4 linked regions of the Rhinolophus ferrumequinum genome follow. The protein of the gene in region 1 interacts with the protein of each later gene in a pairwise test. Links are inferred from orthologs where the notes say so. Each region holds a gene or a part of one and is shown in the gene's direction. Other genes may lie near its edges.

The links.
Region 2: the proteins of UBE2K (region 1) and RNF114 interact in binary tests that used the Homo sapiens proteins (3 or more experiments, as listed by UniProt). The link is inferred for Rhinolophus ferrumequinum from reciprocal best matches to the Homo sapiens genes UBE2K and RNF114.
Region 3: the proteins of UBE2K (region 1) and RNF185 interact in binary tests that used the Homo sapiens proteins (3 or more experiments, as listed by UniProt). The link is inferred for Rhinolophus ferrumequinum from reciprocal best matches to the Homo sapiens genes UBE2K and RNF185.
Region 4: the proteins of UBE2K (region 1) and DTX3L interact in binary tests that used the Homo sapiens proteins (3 or more experiments, as listed by UniProt). The link is inferred for Rhinolophus ferrumequinum from reciprocal best matches to the Homo sapiens genes UBE2K and DTX3L.

Annotation. Positions count from the first base shown.
Region 1 is NC_046288.1:14,523,909-14,531,737, reverse strand, and holds the start of UBE2K (ubiquitin-conjugating enzyme E2 K), read left to right. Parts: upstream 1-4,821; 5' UTR 4,822-5,025; coding exon 5,026-5,088; intron 5,089-7,829. UniProt on the Homo sapiens protein: Accepts ubiquitin from the E1 complex and catalyzes its covalent attachment to other proteins. In vitro, in the presence or in the absence of BRCA1-BARD1 E3 ubiquitin-protein ligase complex, catalyzes the synthesis of 'Lys-48'-linked polyubiquitin chains.
Region 2 is NC_046306.1:9,561,677-9,568,773, reverse strand, and holds the start of RNF114 (E3 ubiquitin-protein ligase RNF114), read left to right. Parts: upstream 1-4,096; 5' UTR 4,097-4,144; coding exon 4,145-4,284; intron 4,285-7,097. UniProt on the Homo sapiens protein: E3 ubiquitin-protein ligase that promotes the ubiquitination of various substrates. In turn, participates in the regulation of many biological processes including cell cycle, apoptosis, osteoclastogenesis as well as innate or adaptive immunity.
Region 3 is NC_046308.1:20,177,528-20,185,245, forward strand, and holds the start of RNF185 (E3 ubiquitin-protein ligase RNF185), read left to right. Parts: upstream 1-4,704; 5' UTR 4,705-4,864; intron 4,865-7,718. UniProt on the Homo sapiens protein: E3 ubiquitin-protein ligase that regulates selective mitochondrial autophagy by mediating 'Lys-63'-linked polyubiquitination of BNIP1.
Region 4 is NC_046285.1:47,308,664-47,316,656, forward strand, and holds the start of DTX3L (E3 ubiquitin-protein ligase DTX3L), read left to right. Parts: upstream 1-4,993; 5' UTR 4,994-5,028; coding exon 5,029-5,218; intron 5,219-6,275; coding exon 6,276-6,487; intron 6,488-7,993. Other genes in the region: protein mono-ADP-ribosyltransferase PARP9, read right to left, coding at 852-993, 1,748-1,762.

The DNA of each region.
Region 1 (7,829 bases):
AAGAGAGCTGGTGTCTTGAATGTGAAGTGTAAAGGCCCCATAGCTATGTTCCACTTGTAGCTGCATATTCCTTGGACAGAGTGGAAGTATGAAATCCTTTCCTAAAAAGACTCCCATCTAAAGAATCTCTGTGCCTGACAGGATCCTAATCAGTAACTTAAGACAAGGAAACATATTTTGTGCTATTAAAACCAGCTTTCCACAACACACTGTAGATAATTCTGAAAGCCACAATAGTGGGAGTTCTGATCAATTCTCTACATTTGGGATATAGTGTAATTACAATCAATACCGTGGTGCCTACTGGCCTGGAGCTAAGTTTAGAAGTTCAACTGTGGATCTAAATGTTGTTTTCCACCTTTGCTGCTAGAGCTGGGAAAAGGTAGGGGAGAGGAGCTAACAAGATGGAAAGGGCAGAACTCAGTGAAGGGGTTTGAAAAAAGCAAAATGATCTCAAATTTATGACTGGGTGTTTCAAAAAGAGAGTTAAATGAGAGGCTTGAGTGGAATAGGCAGTGGTGAGAGACAGAGGAAAAAAGTCTCCAAAAGCTGGCAAAACATAAGGTCAGGAAAGGCCATAGAAAAAAATATTGCTCTGCATTTAGAAGAACAGGAAATTTGAATCTCAAGAGCAGTAACAGTAAATAGCAGGAGCTATACAAAAAGGAAGACGTTCACATTTCCAATGTTGGCGATTATTATCAAGGGTCAGCAAAACATTATTATGCCTTACTGTATTTTTTTATGTGAATCAACACATCAAAACACATTGTTCTGTTAGGGACAACTGAAGAGTTACCAGATTAACTTTCCTCCATCAATCTAAAACCAATTTTACAACCTTTACATATATACATTTTTCTAAATTATTCTGAAAGTGTGTGACTTTTTAGATTTAAGCCTTACGTCTAAGCAGTACAGTATACTTAAATGTACTCAAGTTTCTTTTATAATCTTCAAAAATATTGAGAATTCCAAAGAGTATTTGTTTGAGGGTTAAACAACATTGTGTTAGAAATTAAAACTGACAAATTATTGAAACACTTATTAATAACTATAATAAATCCATTACATGCTCACATAAATAATATATTTTAAGTAAAAAATAACTATATTTTCCTAACAAAAACTCTTTAATGCCTGGCTTAATAGAACATAGCTGAATTTTCATATATGCTTTTGCAGTCAATGTTGCCTATGTTGCTTTGACTTAAGTATATGAAGAAAATCCAGCCTCATCCAGATACATAGTTGGAAATTTTAATAACTTTATCAGACAATTGTGGATATTCTTCTTTAATACTACGATAAATCTAAACAAATGGTAGTTTCTTAAAGGTTAGTTGCAATGTGGAATCTGAAACATTATCAATGAACTTTTTGTACTGTTACATTAAAATCCACTGGTCTCTCTCAAACCTTAAATGGATGTTTTACCCTTACATGAATTCTGTAATATCATGCATTGGTCATTTGGAAAATATTGGTTCACTGATTTATGCAGATCTTCCAAATGTTAAAACATTTGTACAGTTTCAAGTAATCTCACTTGTTAATATCACCACCAATTTAATCAGAAATGTCTTAAAGTGTATTGGGAAGCTGTCAAGTCAAAGTGGCAGATGTGTTTTCAAAAACTATAATTTTCAGTTGAAAGTTTGAATGTTATCATTGGCAACAAATTCTTCCAGTTTGAAGTGACAGGCTCACATTGTTCATTTTTGATAAAATATCTGCCAAATACCCAACTCCTAATGAACATAATTTGTCTCAATCATTACTTCAAGTAAAAATGGTGTTCTATGAAAAATTGGCTAGTTCAGCTCGTAACTCAACCAATTCCACAAGTGCTTTGCCACATATCTTGGTGTACAGCAGACGAGCTTTATGTATCCTTCACGTGTATCACACAGAATATTAACAAGATATGTACTCAAAAGTTTAAGTTTAATAAAAATTAATAATCTCTACTGCTTCACCAAAAACATTCTAAAGTGGCATTTTTTAATCGTATGTGGTATTAATAAAATTATTACTACTACAGTAATTGTTTTTGCCCACTATTGCTTTTACATCATCAGTGCAAATGTCAATGCAGTAAAAAGGCAAGTAATGTCTTAGTTTTATTATGATAATAGTTTGGGCATTGCAGACTGCCTCCTGAAAACATCTCAGGGGCCCCCAGGTATCTGCAGACTATACTTTAAAATTAATTCTCCCCATCCCTGCTAGAATGTAAATCCCACAATTCCAGGTTTTCTTTGTCTCTTGTTCACTGATATCCCTCCAGGGCCTAGGTCATGCCTGGCACATAGTAGACATTCAATAAATAGTTGCTTAATTAATTAATTACTTAATGAAATAATTAATCAGAACTAGATCTTAACAGTGAAGAGCATATAATCTGCATTACTGGAAACTCATTTTTAAAAATTTAGTTTTGAATAGATAAAATATACAACAGGACACATGGTGAAAAGTCTCCCACTTTGCCTTCCACAAGGCAACTTAAGCTGCTTTCTCAGAGAAAACCACTGTTGTCAGTTTCTTATGTATTTCTCCAGTGATATTTTATGGATTCACAAGTATTATATACACAAGCATATTCCTTTCTTCCTTCGCACATATGGTGGTATTCTATATACAACATGGATTGCATCATGCTTTTGAAAAAGTAAACTTTTTCTTTTGGAATAATTTTAGATTTAGAGACGTTTCAGAGATTCTTGTATACTCTTTACTTACTTCTACTAATGTCAACATCTTAAATAACCCTAATACTTAGTCAAAACAAAGAAATTAACATTGTACAATACTATTAACTAAGTTACATAACTTATTCAGATTTCACTAGTTATGTCCTTTCAGTTCTGGAGTCCAGTTCAGGATACCACATTACATTTAGCATACTGCTTTTTTCCCCCCCTTAAAATGTATTTTTAGGATTGCCTCCTATCAGTTAATAGGTAGTTGCCTTATTCTCTGGAAAAACTCTCTAGAATGACTTCCTTGAAGTAGAATTTCAAGGCCAATGATTATGTGCATTTAAAAATTATCAAACCCCTTTCCCTCAAAGAAATTACCAAACCCTTCTAACTAGTACTCTTGTGATTTGAATGTTCCAAGTTTCTTTGAAGTTCTAAGACTGGGGACTGAAAGTAATACATGTAAAATACTCAAAAAAATTTGCACCCTTCACAATTATTTTTAATGTACTGGAAAAAATACACATAGCATTGCACGATTTATATAATATAAATTATACAATTGTATATACAAATATATAATTCATTGTACCATGACCCACGTATATAATTGGTTACTCTTAGGACCACTAGGGGGCTCTGCAGAAAGGGTTTTTATAATTTATTTTAGTCCGTTTAGGGAAAGGTTTCCCCATGATGCTTTAAAATTCTGAACTTTAAAAACTTGAAAGAGATCACCTAATCCAGCTTTCTTATTTTCCAGGTGAGAAAACCAAGTTGGCCAAGAGAGCTGGCATGGAGGAGAGCTGGAATCAAAAATATCCTCTTGGTTCCTGTGGCAGGGGTTCCAGAAAATCTTTTTTGCCATGTGCCTCCACTGAGTGATTCACTCCCTGTGGCTATTCCCTTTCTTTGCTGCCACAATCTTAGTAATATTTGCTAAGACAGTGTATTTGTGATATTTGTCTAATAGGGTACTTTACTAATTGGTTAAGTGAAAGAAGTGCGTGAAATATAAACTTCTAAGTAACCTTTATTATTCTAAAATGTTTTATTCAAACTATCGAATCACCAAAACCATATTACTTACCGTAAACTCTCGCAACCACTTCACATTGCCTTTCAAACTTACTTTCCATTTAAAACATTTTACTCTTTACTCATTTATTCATTCAATATTTATTAAGTGCCTATTAGTGCCAGATATTGTTGTAGGCCCTAGACTTACAGAAGTAAAGCTGCCCTTCTTCCCCGGAAAACGTCTATTTCTCCATTTTTTACTTTAATATACACGTAAATTATTTTCACATGCTTTAGTTCAGTGGTTCTCATAGTGTGGTCCCTGAACCAGGAGTAGGAGCAGCAGCATCTGGGAACTTGTTAGAAACGCAAATTGTTAGGCCTACCCCACACTCCAACGATGGGGCCCAACAATCCGATTTTTTAAACAATGGATTCCGATGTATACTCAAATTTAAAAACTATGGCTTTAGTTCCACAGCTAGGTATTATCAAAATAGATCAAAGATCAACATCTGGCTTCTAAAACCATCTCAAACATCTCCATGGAGCATGGGACCCAACAAAGACCATATTTAATTCAATGATTTGTAATACCTGGCATGATCGTAATAGTGGCTCTGTAATGGCTTCAGAACAAAAACGGACAGCGGTGGATTTTCTGGGCCTATAAGCAGCAGAAAACCGGCCGGTCTGAGTTCTGGGATAGTGTTTTCATACACAGAGCCAAGCACATTAAGCCCGTGGGTCTGCTTGAGTTCAGGGCAGTGCTCTAAGCCGACTGGGGCCGTACGAACCCATCAGGTTGGACTCCAGCCTTTGGCTGGGGGCTGGAAGCCCGGGGCATACCATACAGGTTTGAAGACAGGCGGAGGAAGAGGAGACGACCGGGGAGGCCGGAGTATGGCAGGCTAGCGCGGAAGCCGCACCCTCCAGGCCCCAAACGCCGGCAGGGCGGAGCCACGCGGCCGCAGCTCCGGCAGAGACGCGCGGCGCGGCGCGACGCGGAGCTCGCGGCTCCCGGCTCGCGGCTGAGGCGTGTGGGGCTACAACCGTAGCGGCTGCGCCGCCCGGTCGGGTCAGCGTCGTGCGCATGCGCGGGGCCGGCGCCATTTTGGTGGCCGGGCACGGAGGTGATCCCATACTGAAGAGAGCGAGGCGGCCGGGGTGGCAGTGGCAGTGTTCGTGTGCTCGGGTGTGAATCGCCGAAGGAGGAGGCAGTGGAGGAAGAGGTGGCGGCGGTGGCGGTGGTCGTAGCGGTGGCGGAGGAGGCGGGTACGAATCAGCTGCGGGCGGAGACATGGCCAACATCGCGGTGCAGCGAATCAAGCGGGAGTTCAAGGAGGTGCTGAAGAGCGAGGAGGTCAGAAATGAACTCCGGGACATCCCCCATCTCAGCCCAGGGCGGGAGGGCCCTGCCAGCGGCGGCTCCCAATATCCCCGGTAACCCCCGGGTGGCCCTCCTTGCGGCCGCCCTTCTGCCTGTGGGGAAGCAGCAGTCTCCCCCCTCCTTCCGCCGCCTTCCCCTCCCCTCCCAGGGCCCTGGGATGGACGGTCTCGCTGGCGGGTCGTGTGGAGAGGAACATGGTTTGGGGGGGGGGACAGATGGAGAAGGGGGCACTTGGTGGTGTGAGCTCTAGAGAGACCCCGGGGCAGTGGCAACAGCTGGAAGTGTGGCTGTAGGGTGGTGGGGAGCGAGCAGGCCGAGCCTGAGAAAACCCGGGAAGTGGGTTGGGGGAAGGGGAAAGGTGGTAACTGGATCCGGAGAGCCGCGCTGCTCAAAGGCCCACACTTTTAAGGGTATTCTTGGTTATAGCCTGTCTGGCCTCCACTGTCCTTTCCTTAAAGGAAGTCCCTAGTTATCGATGAAAGGAGAAGGATGTTTAGAGTTACTCCCTCTTGGTTGGGTGTTGGGAGAGAAGAGGAGACATAATGGGATACTATCGTATTTGAGTGGGGGATAAGGGAATTTTCACCTCAGATAGGAAATTAATTCCAATCTAGACCATTATCTCATTTTCATTTACCTCCGATTCCTAGGCCTCTTTTGTGTTGACACCTAAAGCTTTTGACTGGGTAAAGGCAAGTTGTTTTTTGTATGAAAGGCATTTAAATATTTTTAGCTAGGAAAAAATAATGGGAGTGTATGAGAAGCTTATTTCAAAATATTACAAGTTACAGAAGTTACAGATCAGAAAGCCTCTCCTAAGACAATGCCTTTGTGAGTGTGTTGTGCCATGAAACTTCATTATGATGTGCCTCATAGTTAATTCTTACTTTTAAAAAACAGCCGTATTAAACACATGGGATTTTGCCACATTAATACATTGTTATAGTTCCTTATCAAGTGAGTAGGTATATCATAATATATCTGAAATGATTTTTAAAAAATTTTTGTCTCAATCTGCTCTTGAGTTCTGCAGAATTTAGATGCTCTAGTGTTAGCCACATTTATTTATATAAGATATTTTAAATGTTCTAGGAATTTGACTCAAAACCATGCAAGTGTCAGTAAAATTTTTCATACCCAAATCAACAAGAATACCAGGTTGTTTTTCCTCTTTAGATTTAACAAACAAAAATTAATAAGCAATACTGAAATGATTATTTTCAAGATGTCACATGCCATTATTAAACGTATCATTGCTATTTGTATTTTTCTCTTACGTTGGTACTTTGATAATCTCAATGATTTACTCTTTAAGTGTGTGATGAGTAATTGACATAAATCTGGTAGCACTTGAGCTTTTTTTTTTTTTTTTGCTACGGAGTCTATACTGATTATGTATTTTTCCAGTTAGAGAAAGTAATTCTTTAAAATTATTAAAAAATGACAAATACTAGATTTATTGAGTGTAGTATATAAGTAATGATCGGTTTTGCAGAGCAAAACCTCTGTGTTTGTTCATATGCCAAAATTCTGAATGGAAGGATGACTTTGTATTTTGTATTGCAGAAATAGTGTCATAAATGTACTGATACACAGTGAAACAATGATTTTATTTTTTATTTAATAAGAAGACATATTCCAGGATAGTTGACATATATGTTCCTAATGAAAGATTGCAGCTAATATTGTTACCAACAGCCTAAAACATTCCTTTTATAATAAGGTTGTACAATCCCGAAACTTAATATAAAACTTCTAATGCTTTATTTTCTAATACTTAAAAGTGGTAAGTTGCTGCTCTTGTGATTTATATGGTCTCTGCTTGTATGCAGTGACTTTTCACTGTGATATTCTTAATACTTAAATTGAACCTTAAAAGAAATCTTGTATTGCTATAGTAATGCATATATTGTTAAAATAATACTGCTGTTTATATGTAAGGGATAGTGAGGCCTTGCTTCAAGTGTCTTAGTGTTTCAGAGGAAGAAAACAGGAAATGCAAACACAAACTTTTTTTTAAAGAATCGTACCTTTATAAATCTGGAAGGAATCTTCTTCTGGAAAGTATGTTTCAAAGTACATTTAAGAAAGGGTCAGATAATTTAATTTTGCAATATAACCAATAAATAGCTTTATTGGCTCCAATATTTTATTTCACCTGTGTTTTAGTAGGGCCAGTTCTGTAAGTGAATTATTTTCAACTCATTGAGGGATTTATAGTACAGTCCATGTGTTTCCTTTTTAAGTATATAAATGCACTATCTTGAGTGGTTGATCTAGTAAGCAAGTTTTTCGTGTCACCTGTGTAAATTTCCAGTTTACCAAAGTTTATTTCTTATGCTTGTGTTTACTAAGAATACTGGTTGATTTAAGGATGGGGGGCGGCTTTTAAGTGCCTTTGTAACGATTGCTAATGTTTGCTGAATTCTGGCCATAAAAAGTTATAATTGGCCATTCTTGAAGTGTGTTGTTAATTAAAACATAGCCTCTAAGATAAAGCAAATGTGAAAGGCCAGGTGTAGAATAGTGTGAAGGCCACCATTTTTATCAGAAGGGGAAAATATACAGATTCATATATATATATATATATATAGTGTGATATATATAGATGTAGTTTTGTGTGTGTGAGATGTATATATATATCTATATATATATATTTGAAAAGGTTAATCACAGGTTGGTAATTGGATGTCTGGGACAACATGCACCAAAAG
Region 2 (7,097 bases), on another chromosome or scaffold:
AGTGATGAACGGTTCCAGACTAACAAAAATTTAAAGAGACTGTCCTAGATGAGATCTTGAACCAGACAAAAACAAATAATGAAAAATAAAGGCATTTATTTTTATTTAAATAAATATTATTGAGACAATTGGTAAAATATGAATAAAGTCTATAGATTAGGTAATACTGTTGTATCAATATTAACTTCTTTTTGGTAATTGTACGATGGTTTTGTAAGAGAATGTTTTTATTCTTAGGAGTACACACTGAAAGCAAAAGGCATGATGTCTACAACTTACTCTCAAATGTTTCAGAAAAAGAGCATATGTATACATAAATACATATGTATTTATACATAAATATACATCAATACATGTATTAATGCATATATATTATATGTGTGTGTGTGTGTGTATATGCCAGCCGTGTGTGTGTATTTATGTGTGTGTATGTGTATACATAGAGAGAGATGGAACAATAAAGCAAATGTGATAAATTGGGGTATCCAGTTGAAGGGGTCTCTGGGAGTTTTTAAAAATACTTTTGTAACTCTTCTGTAAATCTAAAATTATTTCAAAATAAATACTTACAAAAAGTATGTGCTAAGTATGAAATAATATTTTTTACTTCCTACAACTAAAAAATAAAGACAACCCAATAAAAAATGAACAAAAGATTTGAACAGACACTTTCCAAAGGAAGGCATACAAATGGCCAATAAGCAAATGAACAAGTGTTCAACATCATTCATCATTATGAAAATGAAAACCACAAGATCCCACTACAAACCCCATAGAATGGCTAAAATCAAGATGGCTGACAACCAACTATTGGTAGGATATGGAGCAACTCACACCGGGTTAGAGGCAGTGGAAAATATTTGGAAAATGGTTTGGTTTAGCAGTTTCTAATAAATTTAAATATACACTTACCAAATGACCCAGCAATTCTACTTCTATATAGATGCTTAGTTTTTTAATATTGTGACGACTTCATTCTCATTAGCCAATGTCTCAAGTCACAAATACACATGCAGTGCAGCTTGTAGCTGATGATGGTGGATTTAAATGCTTATTTCAATCAGCCTTGATAATATTCATTTGGTTCTTGTTCTTGTCAGAATTTATTAGATCATCATTGTTTTTACCTCATTATGTGGCTGATTCTTGGTATAATATAAACTGTAAAATGCTGTGTGAAAACAGTGAGCTGGTGAAGAAACTGATAAACTGAAATTTTCTGGAGGCAGCATTTTTATGTAGTCATCCTCCTATGTCTTTCCTGTTTACGTCCAGATCATTCACTGCCATATCCCCAACACCTGTTAGTAGGATGCCTGGTACATAGAAGTTATTGGTTGAATGAAAATTTACATGCCAGTGTTACTCATGTTAAAACTCCTTGAAATCTGAGACTATGTCCTTTTTGATTTTTACTTCCAGACCCAGTAAGCTATAATGGGCAGGAGCTGTAAACACTTAAGGAACTAAAAAGAATAAGGGAGATGTTTGGTGTTCACCTTGGTGGGCCCCATGAGTCTGTGAGATACTCGTTTGCCCCCTAGTGGTATAGATGGGAAGTCCTCCTGGCTCTTACCAGTTTGGCACCAGTTTGAAATCAAGATGAAATTACCTGCCCATAGATTAATAAGTGTAGTAATACATAATGTTGCAAAGTCTGCCTACTTTAGATAAGTGTAGTAATAATTTTTACATGTCACCTGTGGCTGAGAGATAGGACTCTGAGGATTATATGATTTGAGGCCTGTCTAATTCATCTCAACTATTCTCCCACACTGTATCTCCCCACCCTGCAGAGGCCTGCCACATAGTAGGCCACAGGGACTCTTTGTTGCCTAAATGAATGAGTCTCCCTTAACAGTAAAATTCAAGTTTGTGAAGACTTTGAACAGGATCTATTCCCCACTCCAGCCTCATATCAGAACCTCAAGAGGACCTTAGATGACGTGGGCAACCTGGGAGAGGCTGCCAAAAACTAAAGGAGAGGAAGAAACTATTGTGGGAAATATTTTGCACAAGAACATTAAGGGAAAGCGAGAAGAAGAGAGGTTCATTCATTTGACACATATTATTAGGTTGACTGTTGAAAAACAGCAAGTATGAGTATGGGGAAAAGAGAGGACTGACAATATATTTGCAAGCAAAGAAAGGTATAGTGGGGACACTGTCACTGGGAATGCCTCGGAAAAACAGAAAGGGATGGAGCACATTCAGTCTAGTCTCAGCACTGACGTGGGGAGGGATGGGTAGTGTAGCTAGTGGTTCTCAAAATATGATTACCTGGTTCTACAACATCAGCCTTACCTAGAAACCCATTAGAATTGGACTCCTTGGGCCACAGCCCAGTCTTACTTCCACACTGTATCAGGATGTGGGGTGGGGGGGAGGCTCCAGCAGCCTTCCAGGCACCCTTAAAGGCACAGGTGCAAAAGCCAAACTGCATGTGGTGTTCCAATCCTGACTCTCATGTCCATCCATGTTAAAAGGTAATTTAACTTCTTTGTATTTCAAATTTGCACAGCTGTAAAATGGGGATAATAATAGAACCTAAGGCATAGGGTACTGTGAGGATTTATTCATGTAAAAGGCTTAGAATAATAAGCACCAAAAAAACCCACATTCACTATGAATTATTTCAATCTTGTTCTCTTGCCTCTGTGACAAAGTATAAGCTCGTGGAACGTTCCTTTCAAGAGCTCAAACTGGAGGCCCTGGGTGGATTTGAAGCCCAGGTCTGAGGCTCTCTTCCCACCACCACCCCTCACCCACATCCCCACCCCCACCTCCCCAGGGTCTGGCAGCAGCTACAGGGTCAACACAAAGGCTTATAAATACCGGCAGCTACCTCTGCCCTCTGTCTGCCCTGGAAGGGAGAGAGGAGAGAGAGCAGATGAATGGGTTCCTGGCATAGGAACAGGAAAAAGAAACAGGAAAGTGTAAGTAATCAGAGGCCTCGTGGGCTGCTGCCTACCTGCCAAATTATTTTTTGGTGAAAAGATGCCCACGTGGTTAGCTGAAAATAATCCTCCTGATGCCACCAGGTCAAGCAAAATCAATCCAGATGATTGGGAATAGGACAAAGAAGGCACAAACTTGCATTCAATTAACCTGGTTTAACACACGAGGTTTATTTGTCCCGTGTAGCCTCCTTACTGTGAAGCCTTTGTGGCCTTTCAGGTGGAGGTTTCATTGATCGTTAATTTTCCTGGTTAAGCAAACCACGCAGGGTTGTTAGCACAGCCTGCCTTCTAAAAAGATGTATCTTTTGTTAAATGGGCTGCATACAAGAGCTAACTGGGTGCAGTAGAAAGTGGAGGAAGTTAGGATTCAAAACATATGGGGTCTAGGCCTGCTCCTTTCTTGTGAGATTGAGGTTTAGTCTATCTCCTTAAGCCCCAGCTTCCTTGTTTACACAGAGCAGGAGCTGGATTGCATTGCCAGGAGACACGTGAACACAATATTAACGTTGACTCACGGAGCGAGACTGGCTTCCCATTACTTCTGCTTTCGCTAGCAAGTCTCAGTGTGGCGATAGCCTGTCTTCAACACCTGTCTAATAATGGCTAATTTCTCTTTTCAGCGTCAGCAGTATCCAGCATGAATGAATGATATTTTGTTTCCATTTGTATTTTTGTTTTGTTTCCATTGTATTTTTACAATTTCCTTATAGAAATAAGTGAAACTGATTTTCTATTTGTGGCTCAGGAGTGATATCAAATCTCCCTTTAAAATTTGTTTGCTTACGTTTGAAGGAAGCAACTCGGTTTGAAGAGAAATATTAAGTAATAGTGCATAAGTAATATTAAGTAATAGTAATAATTTAAATTTAGAAAAGAGGCTGAAGCACAAAGCCCGTTCCAATACTACCAGTCTGTGGATCTGGTTTCCACATTTTCCAGATTTCCGTCCGCCTCTTCCCCCCTCCCTCCGGTCAGAGGGGCCAAGAAGGCGTGGCGCATCCACTAGCCCCGCCCCAGCCAGGCGTACATTCCATAATCCGAGCTCTTAGCGGCCCTTGCTGCCCAGGAGCCCCGCCCTCTCTCCGCCCCGCGCCCCACCCCTCGCGTGCACCAGCGTGCCTCCTCGGCCCCGCCCCATCGGGCTCCTCCTCGGCCGCCGTTGCGGGGCGCTCCGCGGCAGCAAGATGGCGGCGCAACAGCAGGACCCTGAGGGTGGTGCGCAGCTGGCAGGGCCCGCGGCTGAGGCGGACCCACTGGGCCGTTATACGTGTCCCGTGTGTTTAGAGGTGTACGAGAAGCCGGTTCGGGTGGTCTGCGGACACGTGTAAGCGGCGAACCGGGGCCTGGTCGGGGGGCGCCTGACTGGGACGGGGAAGGGATCCGAGGGGCGAGGCCCCGTCAGGGAGCGTCTCGGGCGGGAGCTAGAGGACCGGCCTAACGGGGCTTCTCCAGGGGGCCCTCCCGGTCTCCTGAAGGCTCGTGAAAGTTGGCAGGGCGCTCTTGTCTCCCGTCCTGCTCTCTCCCAAGTATCCCGCCCTTCTGATGAGCGCCCGCTGTGTTCAGGCCGCCTGTCAGCACCTTCCCACGAGCGATGGTGGAGTCGCACCGTGCTTGGGGTTAGGTACGGTCTACAGTCCGCTGTCCTCGAGAGCCCCAACTTCCCTTGAGTAGTGCGTACACCTCCTCTAAAGTCGATGCATACGGAGTCGTGTATCCAACTCTGCCAAGTAATTGTAACGTGCACGAAAGTTGGAGAAACGCTGAACTAGACTAAACGAACAAAAGGGAAGTCTTGACGTAGATCGGAGCGCTCTGCCCTTAACTGGGACAGGGACTGCGAGTTGGCAGACAGGGATTGCCAGCGTTCCTCCTTCCGTGGGTACGAAGCTTGTTTCATGGTACTTGAAATCACGCCTCCATGGCCCGCATATTACTAACAGACATTGTGAGGACAAAAGGAGTTGGGGGTCAATGTCAGTGTGGGTCCCGGGCTGGGATAGGTGCTTGGAGGCGTTTGAGCTCCGTCAGACACAAAAACACACCTACGTTGAAAGAACTGTAGAAAACTTGACCATCCGCTTCTTGCCTCGGAGAGTTGGCATTTCCTCCATGGCCTCCCTCAATGCTTGTCGAGGGCAACACGTTGGCATTGGGCTTAGGACCCCTTTACTGGTCAGTCGGCACGCTAGGCACCGGCGGGGCCTCCCAGGCATTCTTATTTCCACAGCAATCCTGCGGGGGAAGAGGGTTGGGGTTGGCAGCCATATTGCAGGTGAGAGTTCTGAGGCTCACCAGGGTGTCCGACTCTTCCCAGATGGACTGCAGGCATCTGTTTGCCTGCCCAGAGAACAGCTGGCACCTGGCAAGGGCTCCCCGGCCACACTGAGTGCCTTTTGCTTCTTCAAGTACATGAAGCTCTTTCTCCCTGGCTGTTCTCGTTTGCAGTTCCCTTAGCCTGGAACTCTTCGTGCCCATCTGCACCGCCCCCACCGCTACCCGACATCCTTTTCAGACCTCAAGTCCCAATTTGTTACCTCCTTTATCACCGTCCTCATGGAAGTCACCTCCAGTTTCTTGCACAGAGCAAAACTGATGGATCACGAGGGCAGTGACCATGTCTGCTTTGCCCCTCTCTGTATCCCTAGTGCCCTGCACAGTGACCATCCATCTTCTAATCTTATATTCCACAGACTGAAATATTTGTGTACTCACTCTGTGCCAGATGCTTGGGACATAGTAAGAAAGAAGGCCATGCTGCCCTCAATTCACGAGGCATTGACTTGATGATAAGTACAGAGGGTGCCAAAAAAAATGTACACACATTTTAAGAAAGGAAAAAGCTGTATTAAAATTGTAATACTCAATATATACAGATAACAAGGATAGACAAGTCATGTGTATACATTTTTTTTGGCATCCCGGTAAGTACCAACAAATGTTTAGACTGTTGTGAAAATTCATTGTGCAACGGGAGGTTACTGTAAGGATCAAACCTGTGTGTGTTGACGGAGGTGGTAATGGATGAATAAAGAGACTTGACCCAGTACAATTGACCAGCTGAACAGCAGCAAAATTTGAGGTTTCCCTGAGCCAGGTGAACCTTCCCTGGATCAGAGGTCAAGGGTCAATACTGGGATTCAAACTTTTCTATACTCATCATACTAGTTCCACATGTTTATCAGTTCAGTGTTGATTGAAGACAGATGGATGCACCTCACTGAGGGCAGCGCAAGTCTCCCTTAGCTCCAGCCACCTGCTTTTCGCTGCCCCTACTTGGTTTTTGCTAACTTTCGTGCTTGGAAATTTGAGCATCACTGCAGCTCTGGCTGGGTGGGATGTTAGGTTTTTATAAAACTTTCTTTCAAGCCCTGAATGACTATGTCCTCCAGTCTGGTGTACTCTCTGTGTACTGTAATACAGCAGGAGAAGGGACTTTCTACGTAGCACTGTAACAAAGGTTAGAGCGTGTATGTAGAAGGCTGAACTAGAAAAAGGCCCATAAATAGGAAATGGAAACTGAAAGCAGGCTATTTTGTTGGCCATGACTCAGGGCAGGGCCCCAGAAGTCTTCCTTTCTGCCTTTCACACACCCCTCTGCACTTGGTGTCATCTCAGTGTGGGACTCTGCATCCAGCTCTGTGTGGCTCTCATAATTTTAGGTCTCAGTTCAAAGGTTACTTGTTTAAAGAAATTTCCTGTGATCCGCCACCCCAGCTGATCTCATTGCTTTGTTGTATTTCCTTCATATACTTAATCACTATCTGAAACTTACTGTGTTTTTCTCCACTCTGGAACATACGCATTATGAGCACAGGGACTTAGTTCCCTGTGCCCTCAGGTGAATAAGTGGATCCCCTCACCTTCTTCCAGCCTGGTACAGAATTTTGCCTAGCATCATTCACACCTAGCTGAATAACAAAGGGGAAGAAAATTCTCAGAGACAGTAAAAAATTGTCACATGCACAGATTACATTTGATTATTTATATCCTGAGTTTTTCCTGGCTGATTCTATCAGGTTGAGTGTGTAGCCAGGGTATTTTCATGCCTTATTACCCATTCTCTCTGTGTACTGTATCTCAGCATCACCACCTGCCTAGGCTTCAGGACAGAAACTTGGCCATCTTTGACTTCTTGTC
Region 3 (7,718 bases), on another chromosome or scaffold:
TTCCAGCGGTGGGGGAGGCTGAAGCTGAACAGATGGGTGCAGGATCGGGGGGAATCTGAGGATCTTTGTCCCTTTAGGTCTTCCTTGCCCTCAGGCCCTGGGAAAGTTTCCAGTCACCGGATCAGAAGCTGTGCATACCTCAGCTACCCACTCCTGGCTAGGCAGCAGGTGGCAGGCAGCAGTTGGCCTTGGTGCCTGGGCCTTCTCCCTAAGACCTGAGAGGGTATTGAGATCTTGAGAATATCCCAGAATCCTCTGGGAAGAGCATAATTCCCAGGAATAGGGTCCTTCTGACCCAGTACTCAGAAGATTCCTGGCCTCTCCTACCCTTGACTCAGGTCCCTGTTCCTTCTGAGGCTCTGCAATGGTCTCCTACTTGTCTTGTGCTTCTAGTCTCCAACCCTCTGCATTTTGGAGATCTGAATGCTCCAAATACATGGACTCCCACACCCTCCTGCCCCAGCCTTTTCCTTCCTTTCCAGCCCCCCTCTCCATCCTTTCACAGACCCCACTCTCTCGCTCAGGGTGGTTAAGGCAGCATTTCAACAGGAGCAGGTGTTGAAGGCAGATTCCAATCTTTAGCCTGATTCTTACCAGCTGTGCAGCCTTGGGTGTGTTGATTTACTTCTCTTGGCCTCTAACTCCTCATATGTAATAATATTTGTTTCACAATTTGGAACAAGGATTAAATTGCATAAAGCCCTTAGCACAGTGTATGGCATATTAATAAACCACTCAACAAGTATTAGCTGCCATTATTAGTATTAATAGTAGAGGAATAAGAGGAGGTGGGGCAGAAGGAAGTTAAGACTATTAAAATGAGAACCCTTGGAATACTCAGAGCAAGCAGAGAAAGAAACCAGAACACTTCCAGTTATTTTATTCTTTACCACTGGTATGAATACTTTTTTTATTTAGCACAACTTATTGTAGGCATCAAATAATATGAAATCCATGCTGGGCCCTAGCAGGATAAATGAAAATATCACCAGCAGGGCTTCTGGGGTCTATAAGTACCTTAGTGTGCTAAAGCAGAGAAGCTATTACTTGATACACTTTTGAAACTGAAGTTCTTCCAACTTTGGTAGTTCCAATCCTGTTATTTCTTGGAAATATGTTCAATAATAAGAACATGAAGAAATAAACAGTGCTTGTTCCCTAACATTCAAATTTCAGTTTGGTTGTTGCTTTCCAGAAAAGACCACGGGAATGACCTCATTTCTGACAAAGGAAAAGTTGAACTCTCACCTTTAGTCTGCCCAACAAAAGGAGCAAAGGGGAGTATAATCAACAAATTTGTCTTAAGTGAAGCTCATGGCTGCAATGCCTCTTCATAATGACGGTACTCTGACTTTTTTGAAGGAGGTCATAATGCAAGCAGAAATTTTAAAAAGTATACTGAGAGCTAACTCAGTGCTAAGCCTGTTCTGTATCCTCACAACGACCTTCTGAGGTAGGAATAAATCTCTTCATTTTACCAGATGAGGAAACAGTCTTCTGTAAGTGAAACTGCTGTCTAAAGTCACATAGCTAGTGAGCATAGGCATTCTCGATGCCTGTTGTCACACAGCAGCCTAACCGTCTGTCCCCTCGTGCCTATCCCTAAAGAAAGAAGAGTCTGTGAGACTGATCCTTTCAGGGATTTTGCTTCACCTTTGTGCTTACACCTTATGTCTCTCTGTTTGGCCCCAAAAGATGGCACAGCCAATGACGGGTAAGATTCCCCATGGGGGGAACAACCCAAGCCAGGTGCAGCCGCGTGGGGACCACCAGAAGAACTCATGGGTCGATAGAGGTGGGCACAGTCCTCCCTTCCCCTGGCCAAGGAGAGCTTCTGCCTACGTGGCTATATTCCTTCCCACAACCTGCGTGGGAAGTGAGTCAATGATGTGATAACATCAGTTCTCCTTCTATTCTTATCAATAAGTTTCAGCATAAAGGTTTTGTCCCAGGGGAGGCACATACCACAGTTATTAAGACATCATGGGATTTTTCAATTCTGGCTGCTTGCAGGCAAGGGTGATTGGTTTGAATCAGTTTTCTAGTATGATGTATGAGACTCACAGACCGTGGAAAAAACAATGCTACTTCCTTGTATGTACATCAATAAAAGCCACAAGGTGGCCCGATTCGGGGCTCTCAGTCCTTTGAGGCTGTGAGACCCTTCGGCCTGGGTTTCATAACTTTCTTGATTTCTGTTTCTTTCTTAACCCTTCGCCACCCCTTCTCGTTCGCTCACTGCCTGTGTTGCGCTGGGCGCAACAGATGCCCACCAATGAAAGACCTACAGGAACGCACTTGTGGTTGAACAAGTTGGGTTTATTACTTGTTACAGCGAGGGGTGGGAGATGTGAACCACAAGGAATGATGAGGCGTCTCAGAAACAGAGTGTTAGAAAGGACATTTAGAATTTAATTTGGGGGAGGGTCAAGGAAGCAGCAGGGTTTTGATCTGGATTGGATACTGTCTATGATTTGGGTATCTTGATAAATCCTATCGAGAAGGCAGGAAAACTAGACTGAGACTAAAGCTGTAATTGGTAAAGAAGCAGCAATCTCTATATGAGCCAGGATAGGGAAATGTTTGGTCATTTTTGTGGTTTGGATAATGCTCATGTTTTATCTGGTTCAGGTATGATTATGGAGAGGTCTTGTTATTGTCTTGATCCATCACAGTCACAGAGTGGCCTTGTCTGATGTTGATGTTCTGTGACATTTTTATGTTCAACTGAACACCAAAGCCTACCTGTGAATGCCAGGCCAGCTCCGGGATATCAGGGGCTCCTTTTCTTTTTATGAGAAGATGGACTCAAATCCAGGTTTGTGTGACTGGAAACGTATCTTGTGTTACTACTCCCTGTCCCCAGGAACAGGGAAGAGGGCTGGCAGATGAGGAATTTCATCTATAAGTTTATTTCATCTACTGCCTTCACCCCCTACTTAGACCCAAGCCCAAATACAATCCCTGGGATCACTGTAGACACTTAATGTTTGTTGAATTAATGAAACAATGAAGATGGGTGTCAAGAACTCTAGAAAACAACTTCCTGGGTGCAAATTGCAGCTCCATCACCTTTTAATTAAATGATATGTGATTTGAAAACTTTTAATAAAATGATAAAATTGTGTAACCTTTTAAAAGTTTTCTTTTACCCATTTGTGAAATGGAGACAACCACCAAAACCATTCATAGGGCTGCTGCGAGGATTAAATGAAAATGAACCATTGTGTAGAGTGTGCTTAGTTAAGCTCAGTAAATGTTAACTATTATTATTTTCAAGATAAGTAATCCATTAGTGCTGTGATTGCATGTTTAATATTTTTCCCACTAGGCATGAAAGCAAAGAGCTTGTCTCTTATCACATAACCAGTACCTAGCACATAAATGAATATTTGATAAATAAATAAGTAAACAGGCTAGGACCCAGGCACTTTCCCTATTTAGAGGGTAAATATTAATTTTTATATCTTTTCAAATTTAAAGAAAAGTTGCAAAAATTATGTAAGGAACTCCCATATACCCTTTACCTAGACTCACCACTTGTTTACATTTTTCCTAATTTGCTTAATCATTCGTGTAATAAATAAATATATATATATTCCTAATTTGCTTAATCATTTCTATAATATATATATATATTTCTGAATCATTTGAAATTAAGTTGGAGACATTGTGCCCTTTTACCCCTAAGTACTCCAGTGAATATTTCCTAAGAACAAGAGGAATATTTCCTCTTAACCACAATACAATGATCAATTTTAGAAAATTTAACATTGATACAATATGCTAATCCACAATCCATATTCAAATTTCATCACTTGTCCCAATATTGTCCATTATACCTATTCTACCTTCCCTCCCCCCCAGTCCAAGATCCAACCATATTTTGTTATGTCTCTTTAATTGCATTTAAACAGGAAGAGTTCCTCAGTCTTCAAATGTCTTTCGTGATATTGACACTTATTTTGTAGTGTCCCTCGATTTCAGTTTATTTCATGCTTCCTCATGAGATTTGGATTATGCATTTTGAATATAAATGTCACAGAAGAGATGCCTCCTTCTCAATGCATCTTATTGAGGGGCACGTGATCTCTACTTGACCTGTAGCTGGTGACATTAACTTTGATTACTTTGAGTCACTTGTTCTGTGAGGTTATACCTTTGTAAAAATACTATTTTCCCTTTGTAATCAATAAGTGATTTATGGGAGACAATTTTACTGTGTAAACATCCTGTTCCTCTAGTTTTACCACTCATTATTGATTTTCTAACTCCATCATGTTTGTTAGTTGGCTTCTACTAAAAGGAAGACTTTTCTCTTCTCCCTCATTTATTTATCTACATTATTTATATTAGTAAAGACTCATGGGTTAGCATTTTATTCAGTTAGTTATACTCTGTTACTATCATTATGTATTTCGATGCTCAAAAATGCTCCAATTTGGCCAGTGGGATATCCTTTAAGTAAGCTCCTCTGTCCTTTCACATATTCCCATTATTCGGATGCCCATCATCCTTACATTCTGGTGCAACAAGATGTTCCAAGCTTGTCTGGCACTTTCCCTGTCCTGACCAAGGATCTTTAAAACGCTGCCAAACAGCTCCTAAGTTCCTCCCTTTCCTATCCGCAAGCGGAACCTTAGAGTCTCGTGCGTGGGCCGGAGAACAGCTCAGCGGACCAACCTTTTCCGGTTGCGGCCGGAAGTCTCGGAGAGGGGCGATTCTGTGTCAGGTGACTGGAGTTCGCGTAGGAGTGATCCGAGGTCCAGGCCGATCCACTGACTGGGCGGACAGACCGGCGGAGCAGCCGACTGACGGAGAAGCTGGGGCAGCCTCGGCGGCGGCGTTAGCTGAGCAGCGGCAGGTACCTGAGGGGCTGGTGGGGGGAGCAGCTAGGGGCATCCGAGGTTGAGGGACACGGGCGGGGGACCGGGTCCCGCCTTCACCGGGCCACGGGCTGCGACACCTGAGTCCAGGGGCGCAGAGACAACAAGCCTGGCTCCGCCTCAGGCCCTCCTCCCCAGAAGAGAGGTCGGGCTGGCATGTGGTCTTTCGTCCAGTGATTACAGTTGGGGGAAACTGAGGCCCCGAGAAAGGAAAAGGCTCCTTACGAGCTCTCCTTTCCAGGCAGGGACTCACTATAACTCTCTTTCTGTCCCCCGCTCGAGGCCATTTCTCTCCTGTGGATGTGTTTTTAATAAGTTTGCCCCGAGTGGAGAAGCCGAGGCCGGTAAGCGTGGTGAACAGAGTTGGGCTTTGGGCATAAGAGACCCGGGTTAGAGACTTCGCCGCCAACAGCCGATTGTGCGTTCTGGGCCAAATCCCTTTCTTCTGCTGGGCCTTAGTTTCCTCGTCTGTAAAACAGGGCAGTGCTTCTCAAAATACCGTTCTCACACCATCTGCTTTGGAATGCTATAGGGGTGCATGCTTTCCCATGGGGGACTCAAATAAGACCTGTGATTTAGAATCTGGGTGGGAACTTGGGAAACTGCGTTTGGAACGTATGGCTCGGGTGTCCTGTACATGCTGATGTTTGAAGCCCACTGATCTTAAGTGTTTTCCTGCTGTAACTACGAGATATCCATTCTTTGCTTTGAGGCAGCTGGAGCCGGTTCAGGATCTTTGAAAGAACTGGGTGTTTATCCCAGGAAAGAGAGCAATGGAAGGGAACTGTCTTTAAAAACTGAAAAAGTTGTTATGGTGAAGAGGGCTTCCACTTCATCTTTGGGGTTGAAAAGGGCAGAACTAGGACCAATAGATGGTTTCTACAGGAAGACAAGATTTTGATTTAATAGAACTTAATGCTGGTCAGAGGTGCCCAGCAATGGATGGGTTGCCTCCAAAGGTAGTGAGCTTCCTGCTATAGGAGGTATACAGGTATTAGATGGTGGTCCTTTCCCATTTGACAGCTTCTAATTCTGAGTAATTATTTTGAATCTTTCTGGAGCTGACTTCTTTTTTCTGCCCTTTTTTCTTGACACCTCCATTCCCTCAGCCTACATCTTGTAGAAGTAAGGCGGTGGGTCTGAATGTAATGTATCTTGTAATCTCTTCCTGATTGTCCTGTGAACCATCCTTTTCAAGGACTTTGGAATGGTCCATCTGATAAAGACGCCTTAAGATCATTGCTGAATGAATAACCAAGCAGAGTCCCCACACCATCTGTTTATAGCTTATTTTCTTAGAACAACTTGGAAATGCCTCTGAAGGAAGACTTTGTATTTGATCAGGAGAAGCCAGTGAACTCTTTGGATCACAGAATTGGATCACAGTCAGAAGGGTCCCTTGAGGTTGTTTAGGCCAGCTTTTCTTCCCTGGGACATAAGTCTCCCTTTAATCCTCTCTCCAGAAGTGTGTTGTATAGATATTGTGTCTACCAAGGGGATTTTTGCAATCTATGGTCTAACGTTCCATCCAGCGTTTAAAACCGGTCCTTTTATGGACTTGACATGTCAGTTCATCCTCATTTATGGGTTATCTGCAGGTAATGCTTCTATATATCTTATATCTTTAGTTTTCTAATCAAACATCAAAACTCCTATTTTGTGATTTATAAAACTCCAAGCAGATTGCTACTTCAAAACCTGTTAGGATGCTTACGTTGTCCTATGGAGCAAAGATTCCATATTATGACCCAATTCTGCTGACATGCTTCCTACCCCCCAAAAGGTTGGGTTTCAGCCAAGACTTTCTGTCAATGTTTATATTCCTGCCTTGTTTGTGTTTCCTACGATTTTAAAAAAATAAATTGCGAAATTCTTATTCAGGTATCATCCAGGTGCTAGGTAAAATGATTTTAATTTGATGGTGTTTTTAAAACTTCTCAATCTGAACATTTCTTTTTAAGAAAATACCTAAACAGGTATATACATAGTGCATTTTTCAGGCCGCTAATCTGAAGAGACCCCTCCAAAAAAAAGTGTTCTATGGTAATAATAAGTTTGTAAAAACTATAGATCATTATCCCTTTTTGGAACTTCTCAGTGTATAGTACCACATTAAGGTCCCTGAGATATCTGCAATAAAGAAATGTGCCTAACCTTGTTTAATCTAGTGTTGCCAAACTGAATTGATGTGAAGCACTTTTTTTTTTTTTTTAACTGAAGCACACATTGGCAAATTCTGACCTAGAGCAGGAGTCCACAAAATTTGGCCTGTGGTCCAAATCTGGCCTCACTTCCTGTTTTTGCATGGCCTGTGAGCTGGGACTGTTTTTTACAGTTTTTAATGGTGGGGAATACATCAAGAGAAGAATAATATTTTGTGATATATGGAAATTATAGGAAAATCCAATTCCTGTAATTCCATAAATAAGGTTTTATTGGAATACAAATTCCAGTGTCCGAAAGTAAGATCCTTTCTCGTTAATTTACATGTTGTCTTTGGCAGCAGAGTTGAGCCATTGCCCCAAAGATCATGTATAGTCCACATGTCTAAAGTTTTTACTATATGGTGCTTTACAGAAAAATTTGCCAGCCGCTGACCTGCATCACATATGTTTTTAAACTTGTTATTTTGAAATAATTTTAGACTTGCAAAACGAATATACAGACTTCCTATATACTCTTCACCCAACTTACCCTAATGTTAACATTTTACACAACCATATTAAAATTACCTAAACAAGAAATTTAACATTAATACTATACTAACTAGACTATATTCACATTTTGCCACTTGTCCCACTAATGTCCCTTTTCTGTTCCAGGATCCAGTCC
Region 4 (7,993 bases), on another chromosome or scaffold:
AATGTGGTTATGAAGGAGGGAATATGGCTAGTTGACAGCCTCTAGTTGTTTGCCCTTCAGAGTCCATCTCCGCTTTCCAGCCAAGGTCACACTATTCTCAAGGTGGCCTCCATGAACGGCTGAGCAAGGCCATTTATGTCTAATGTGGGCCTCCCGTAATGGGCAATCTCAGGCTGGCAGAGCTTTGGCAGGTTTTCCTTACAGTCTGATGGCTCCACCTCCCCAAATCTCTTTTCCTTTCACAATAAATCTTTTGCATTCCTAACTCCATCTCAGTTTTTGCTTCCTTGAGAACCCCGCTTGTGACACTGCATTTCACTGGAGTCTAAGGCATCGTTATTATATGTCACTGAGGAAGGAAAAACGATGCCATTTAAACCATAGCACACTACTGAAAGGGAGGAGCTTTATTTCAGAGATATGAAAAAATGTGCATCCTAAAATAGGGAAAATGTCGTAGTTAATTATATTTTACTTCAACTCCCATTTCTAATCTGAGTCACCTAGAAAGAACTTTGGTGGCTTCAATTACCTAAAAGAAGCAGTACGTGAGTAGCCAGATCCAACTGGCCCACGTTTTGGTTGAAAATCACAAGTGGGCCACCTCTAGGATTAGGAAGGTTCCATTTGGCTCTTACAAAGCCCTTGTTGAGCAAGGGTCAATCAGTGGGTCACCTCTTCTGTCCAATTTCAGTTCTACGGCTGTGGACAGAAGAGTCTGACATCTTGTGAGCAAAGGAAAGGACCAATGAGAGCCCTAAGAGAACACGTCAGCTGGTGCCACACCGCCTCTGAAGCAGTCCCCCTTTGAGACAAGTGCCGGGTCACCACAAGGTCCTGCAATCACGCACCTGAGCACCTGTGGGGTAGACAGTCTCCTTTTGTATTCCCCTTTCTCCACTGAGAAAAGATAGGTGCAAAGACTTTCTGAAACAAGCCCGAGACTGACAGGATCCTACCTGATTTCTCATTGTAAGCTGCTGCTCCAGTACCCTGTGAAAAATGAAAGTGGTTTAAAAAAAACTGAAACCAAATGACTACAGACTACTGATAACAAATACAGCCTAATAAGCACAGAGCAACAGAAATTCTGCTAAAAGCACTGGGTTTGAGAGGGAAGGGGAACACATGTTTGTTCATTTGTTTAATCTGTGTGCCTGAAATACTTGAAATACTAAATGTTCTAGCAAACAATGACCCTACCCCACTTTCCTAGAGGCCAGTACACTTCTAATTCAACATGGGTTGGAGATTAACACTTGAAAAGGCCCAAAGATCACAGGCCAAAAGGACCCAAAACTTTCAGACAGGCCTCCAATTTCCAAAGGCTTGTAGGGTTTCTCTAGACAGAACAGAAGACATGCGGACATGAGCTTCATCAGCTATATCTTCCTGTCTACCAATAAGGACCCACTTTTCAATTGCTTATCTTCCTCCATCCTCCTCCTCTACCCCATCCTGCAAAAAAGCAGAATTGCTGCATGAGAAGATAGAATAAAAATGATACTGAAGTCATATTTTTAAAAATCATCGATCCTCATGTTGACTCTGTTGATTAGATTAGCATGTTCTTGATTCCTCTTCTCCCACATGGTACAGGGAGACAACTTTTATTGGGCTATTAAAACCAAGTACGAATACTGGGCATAACTGAAGACCCAGATTTCGTGCTTAGTTATAGGAAGTACTATGCCTGATCAAAGTTCATGATTTATGTGAGTATACATTTATAAAAAAGTACTTTTACCTTGGAAAAGTCCATCCTCCAAGTACCTGGGGTCTTTCAATGTTTATACTCTGTTTTGCGTTTCTGAGCGTAGACTGCTGTTTCCAATTATGGTGGTCCACTTCTAGGAATGAATAGAAAGGATGCAATAAGCACTGATCAGCATCTTAGGAAATTTGATAAGAATACGCCATAGGAAGACAAAACATGATTTCTGATCTTGAGTAGCTTTTAGTTTTACTGGTGAAGATGCCCTATTGTTTTTCTGCTGTGGTTACTGTTTACCTTCTGTCCTTTACAGAGAGGTTCCAGTTGAAACCGTAATGGCAGTTCAGAGAGGGGAAAGAACCATAAGGGTTATAGTAGGGAAAGCTTTATGGAGAAGGTGAGACGAGAGCCAGACCTTGAGGGATGGAGCAGGTTTGTATATAGTTAATTGGAAGAGGAGAATGATTCCAAGAGCTAAGACAGAGCACAGCATTCAAAGAACAATGAGGCAAAACCAGCTTTATGAGTATGAAGACCCCTGGAGAATGTCTGAAGAAAGCAAACTGTACTTATGCCTGTCAAGGATATGTGTTACTGAGCCTATGATAAATTTGCTGATCTAATTAGAAAGGGGACTGTCTGGATAAACATCAGAAACTCTGGAAAAACATATTTCAATGATTTTCCATCTAATATGTAGGGATCAAATTTTTGGAGACCAACAAAAATGCTTAACAACACAGTTGCCTACACTTGTTGCCCACATAGTTGTCGTTAGGCCTCTGAAATGATTTCTAATGCCTTTGTAATGAAAAATTTTGTACGACTATCTACAGCATCAGGGAACTATTATTCCTACATGTCAGGAAAAGCAGCAAGTCCAATACAGTCCTAAAGTGTGAGGACAAGATGCATTTTTGCCTCCAGAGGGCACTGCTGTTTTCACAAAAGAGGGAAGTCTCCTGTCTGCTTTGGCTGTGGACATCAGGTGGGCTTTTGCTTCAGATGCTGTAGCACTTATGTTTTTCCTTCGACCAGGCTTTTAAGGCCTAAGGATAGACTCTTGAGGGTGGGGTGAGGGGTTATTAAACCCCAAAGAAATTAGAAACAAGGAGCATATTGCTCAGAACATTCAATCTCTCTCATTTTAAAAACAACACCAATTAACAACAAAAGCCTTCCCAACTTTCCCTTACTAGTTCCTACTGTGTTCTTTTCTCCGCATGGGCAGCATGAAGAGGTTGACTCTCCCCCATCCGTCTGCCTGCTCGGCCCACTGTGGTGGACTCCTGCCCCACCCCCAGCACTCCTCTGAAACTGCTCATCAGTGATCTCCACAAGGTTAACCCCAGTGGACTCTCTTCTGTCCTAATCTTTACTTGACTTCTCTCTATCATCATTTCATTCTTTGAGTCCTAAAACTCTGCCTTCTTGGCTTCTCCTATGCTATCTTCCCTTGGTTCTTTTGTTACCTTTCACTTTGCCTTTACAGGCCCTTTGCTTGGATTCACCTCCCTACACCCACCCGACCCGCTCCGAAATTCATGCTCTCTCTCCTGGATTCCACAGCTCAGTCAATGATACACCATTTACCCACTCAAGTCAGAAATCTAGAATCTCCTCTTTTGTCCCAGATGGAACCCATCACTTGGGTCCAAAGCACCCACTTTCAAATATGCCCCTACCCTCCTTGCCCACTGACATCATTTCACTTCAGGGCCTCTTGTCTGAGCTATGTCATTCTCTTTAAAGATTTTAATGTATTTAATTTTACATTTCATTGTTTGAATTGGTATTATGTTTACTGGTTCAAATTCAGAAACTGTAAAAGGCGCCCTCCTACCTCTAACTGCAGAATCACAAAGCCCATGCAGCTGTAATGCTGATAGTACTGCCAAAATGGCTTGGATTCTGCAAAATCCAAGCCTGTCTCAGGCCTGTCTTATCTCAAAAACCTTATCTCAGGCCTGTCTACTTCCTTTGTCCCTGCTTGGAAATGTGTCCTCCACATGGTTGTCCACGCCATGTTTCTAAAATGCACTTCTGACCTGTCACTCTGTTTCCGGTGCTCACAACCCTTCCGTTTCTCCCCACTGATCTTCAAGACTTTTCACTGTCTAGATCTGCGCTGTCCGCTGTGGGCCATTAGCCACATGGAGCTCTTGTACGCCCCAAATGTGGCTCCTTAGTCCCAATTGAGTGAGATGTGATGTAAGTGTGAGATAAACACCAGGTAGTAATGACTCAGTATGACAAAAAGCATGTAAAGTATCTCATACGGTTTTAAGATTGCTTACATGCTGAATGATTAATTTGAGATACAGGAACGATTACATGTAAGATTATATTGAATTAAATAACATCATTAAAATTCAGCTGTTTATGCTTTTTAAAATATGGCTACTAAATATTTTTAAATTAGATATGTGGTTCCTATTAGATATGTGGACAGCACTGATCTAGACCCTTCCTCTGTCACGTCCCTCACCCATCTCATCTCCTCCAAGGCCCCAAAGCTCCCTCTGCTTCAGATCACAAGGGTCCTTGGGCCTCAGATGCTCCTTCCCTCCCGACCCCTACACACTCACACACACATTCTCTAAGACTCTGCTGCAGACTTCCTCTTGGGCGCTTTCAAGAGATTTGCTTCTTTATTCACAAGTCCGCCTCCCTTTACCAGCCTGTGAGGTCGCTGGCCTCTGCGTTCATCTTTATTCCCCAGTACAAAGGGCAGCACACAGTCCGGTTTTGTTGGCCAAATCACGCTCCAAGAGCCAGTCTAAAGGATAGAGCTGGAGGGAGGTAACAGGTGATATGTCATAATGCAGGAGAACACTTTCAGTTTTTTTCAAATGTAGGTATTAATCCGAATTCACAATGTGAATTACATTTTAGCTGCACACAATAGTAACAATAAGAGTTAAAAGGAATCACAAACTCGGGAGAAACTTCGACTTCAGCCTCTGACCAGTCTCACCCTCTCCTGGGTTGGAGGCGGGGGCCGCCTGGCCCTAGGAGCCCGTTTCTCGCCCGCCCCACCCCTACCTCGGCCAAGCCCGCAGAAAAGGAGACGCGAAAGCCTTGGGCGCCCACCGCTCGGGGGGACACGGGACCGACATACTCACCCGGCCAGACGGCGGCAGGGAAGGCAGCAAGGAGAGGAAGGAGAGTAGCTGTGCTGGGAACAGGGAGGGATCTCGGGGAAAGCGAAACTGAAACTTTGAGGCCCAAGGCGACGAGGCGGGACGCACCCCTGCCCCAGTCCCTGTCCCAGCAGAGGCCGGAGCCGGTGCGCCAGCTCGACGCCGAGAGCCATGGCCTCGAACCGCCGCTCGCCGTCCCCGCTGCTCGTGCGGGTGTCCGAGACGGATCTCCAGCAACCTCTCCACCGGAAGCTGGAACGCTACTTGCAGAGCCGGCGCTCCGGCGGCGGGGAGTGCACCGTTAGACCCCTGGGCCCGGGCGCGCCGGGCACCTTCGTGGTGGAGTTCGTGGAAAGGGCAGGTGAGCCGCGGGCCGGGCTGGGGCTGCAAAGGCCGCCCCTGCGGCCCAGCCTCACGGGATTCCAGGCTAACCCAGTGTGAGCTGGCCTAGGAGAGAGGGCGGGAGAAAGTATGGCACCTGTTTGATGGGGCACGGGAACCGCGGGCTCTTGCTGACAAGAGACGCAGCCCGCAGCCACGGAGGATGGAGTCCAGAGGTGCCCAGTCTGGGATCTTGGTCTGACAGCGCCGCCTTCGAGTTCACGCTTTCCAGTATCCTCGTCCTGCCTTATAGTATTTCTCAGCTCTCAAAAAAGCACCTTTCCCTACCCCAGACGTTTGTCACCCCGTGCCCTTTAGGTTTTCCACTTTTATGTTTTAAATAATTATTCCTTTGATTTATTCTTGAGGATTACAAAAGTAATATATGCGCACTATAGAAATGACAAAAAGAAGAAAACCACCTGGAGATAAACAATGTGAACATTTTCGTATATTTCTTCCAGGCTATTTCTATGAACGTCAGTAAACACATATGTATATTTACAAAATTCGGAGTCTGCACTGTTGATTCCCTACTTTTCTCACTCCACTTTATGTGATGAATATTATTCCACATCATTGAAATGGGAAACCGAGACAGTTTCAGAGACATGACTTTTAATGAGTGGACGATGTTCCATATCATTGAGATTTCATTTCTGCAGTAAAACTTAAGCTGCCTGCTTGAGAGTTTTGAATAGCTCTCTCACACCCCCTATTACCAACCACCATCCCAGGATGCCGGGGCAGGCTACAGATACATGAATACCCTGTTTCCCTGAAAATAAGACCTAGCCAGACAAACAGCTCTAATGCGTCTTTTGGAGCAAAAATTAATATAAGACCGGGTATTATATTGTATAAGACCCGGTCTTATATATTAATATTAAGACTGGGTCTTAATATTAATTTTTGCTCCAAAAGACGCATTAGAGCTGATTGTTCGGCTAGGTGTTATTTTCGGGGAAACACAGTAAGAGGATTTGAAATCACTTATATGCCTATGTGTATGTGTGTGTTTAATGTCTCCACTGAAGCTAAGGAGGGAGTGTTGAAAAAGGAAAAGCACCAAATTGTGGTTAAGGACAAACCTGTGCCTATCTTCCTGGAACCCACCGAAAATCCAATAGAGAAAAATAGGAGACCCAGAATGTCTTCGCTCACACAGTCACATGAAGGGGTGAGGTCTGATGAGAAGCATCCACCTGAAGAACATATTCCTAATGCTGTGGATTCCTGTGGCCAAAAGGTGAGTATTGAAAGAAGGAGCTGGGTATGTGCTTGCAACTTGCTCTCCAGTCACCATACCTTTCATTATTGGCCCAACAGTTATTGGCCTGAGGACTTACTATGTATGAGCCAGGCGCTGTCTTAGGCACTGGAACACACAGAGATGAACACAACAGGTCCCTGCTGGGCGAGGGGGAGGTACAAAGAAGGACCATAAGCAAATAAAATAAATAAAACAATTTCAGAAAGTGGTATGTGCCATACAGATTGACGGACAGGGCCAGGAAGGGGAAGGGTGGCACTACTTATGACCAGAAGTCAGAGACAACTTCTCTGAGATGACAAATTTGGCCTGAGGCTTGAATGATGAGAAGGAGCCAGCCAAGCAAAGAGTCATTTGACAAATCGTTATCAACTGTCTACTGAGTGCCAGGCACGATTACAGGAGCTGGGGATACAGCCAGGAACACAGCAGACCCTGCCCTCAGGGACCTCCCATTCTAGTGAGGGAAACAGACACCAACAGCTAACAAATAGGTTTATAATAACATGTCTGCCAGTGAAAGTGCTAAGAAGAAGAAGAAAGCTGGATAAGTGGCAGACAGTGACAGAACCACTACTTTAAATAGGGTATCAAGTAAAGCCTGTCTAATGAAGTCGCATCTGAGTTGAGACATGAGTGAAGTAAGGAAGCTAGCTAGCTAAGTGGATTTCTGAGGGAAGAATGTTGTACGTGGAGGTGCAAAGGCCCCAAGTGCAAAGGCCCCAAGACAGGAGCTTAAATCCTGAGCCCCAGGAGCTTCAAGGAGAGAAGCCAGTGTGGCTGGAGAGTAGTGAGCAAGGGAGAGAGTGATAGGAGAGGAACTTGGAGAGGTATCCAGAAGAGTCCGATCTTTGGGGATGAAGGTAAAGACTGGATTTTAATTTAAATGGTAGGGGATTATCAGATGGTGCTGAGCCAGGGGAGTGGAGTGATCCGATGTGCATCTCTAAAGGATCAGTTTGGCTGCTGTGTGAACGGAATGTAGGCAGGGGCTAGAGTGGAAGGTCAGAGTCCAATTAGGAGGGTTGCAGTGGACCAGGTGCAAGATGATAATACCTTGGACTCTGGGTGGTCCGGATGGAGGTTTAAGAAGTGACTGGATTGAGGAAACATTTGAAGGAAGACCTGGAAGAAGGATGGTACATACAGAGGAAATGGCATGTGCAAAGATCTTGAGGAGGAACAAAATATTAGAAATCTTGCTTTTATGTTACATTCAATGTGTCTGTCTTTTTTAGCCTGGTCTGATGTGCTTGTCTTATATTTGATCTTCTAAAGGTTAGGGTTTAGAGGGCCCACCAACATTGCATGTGGTTAGGTGTTTAGTTATTTATTTTTATTTTATTTTAAAGGAAGGGGTTGAAGTAAACAAAACACAGTAGTAGGAAAATACATCCTCTTCAGATTTATGGCTCTCTTCCAGGCTCACAGACTCGTTAGTGAGAACCACAGCAGCTTGCCCAGAAAAAGGAAGTGCTTTCC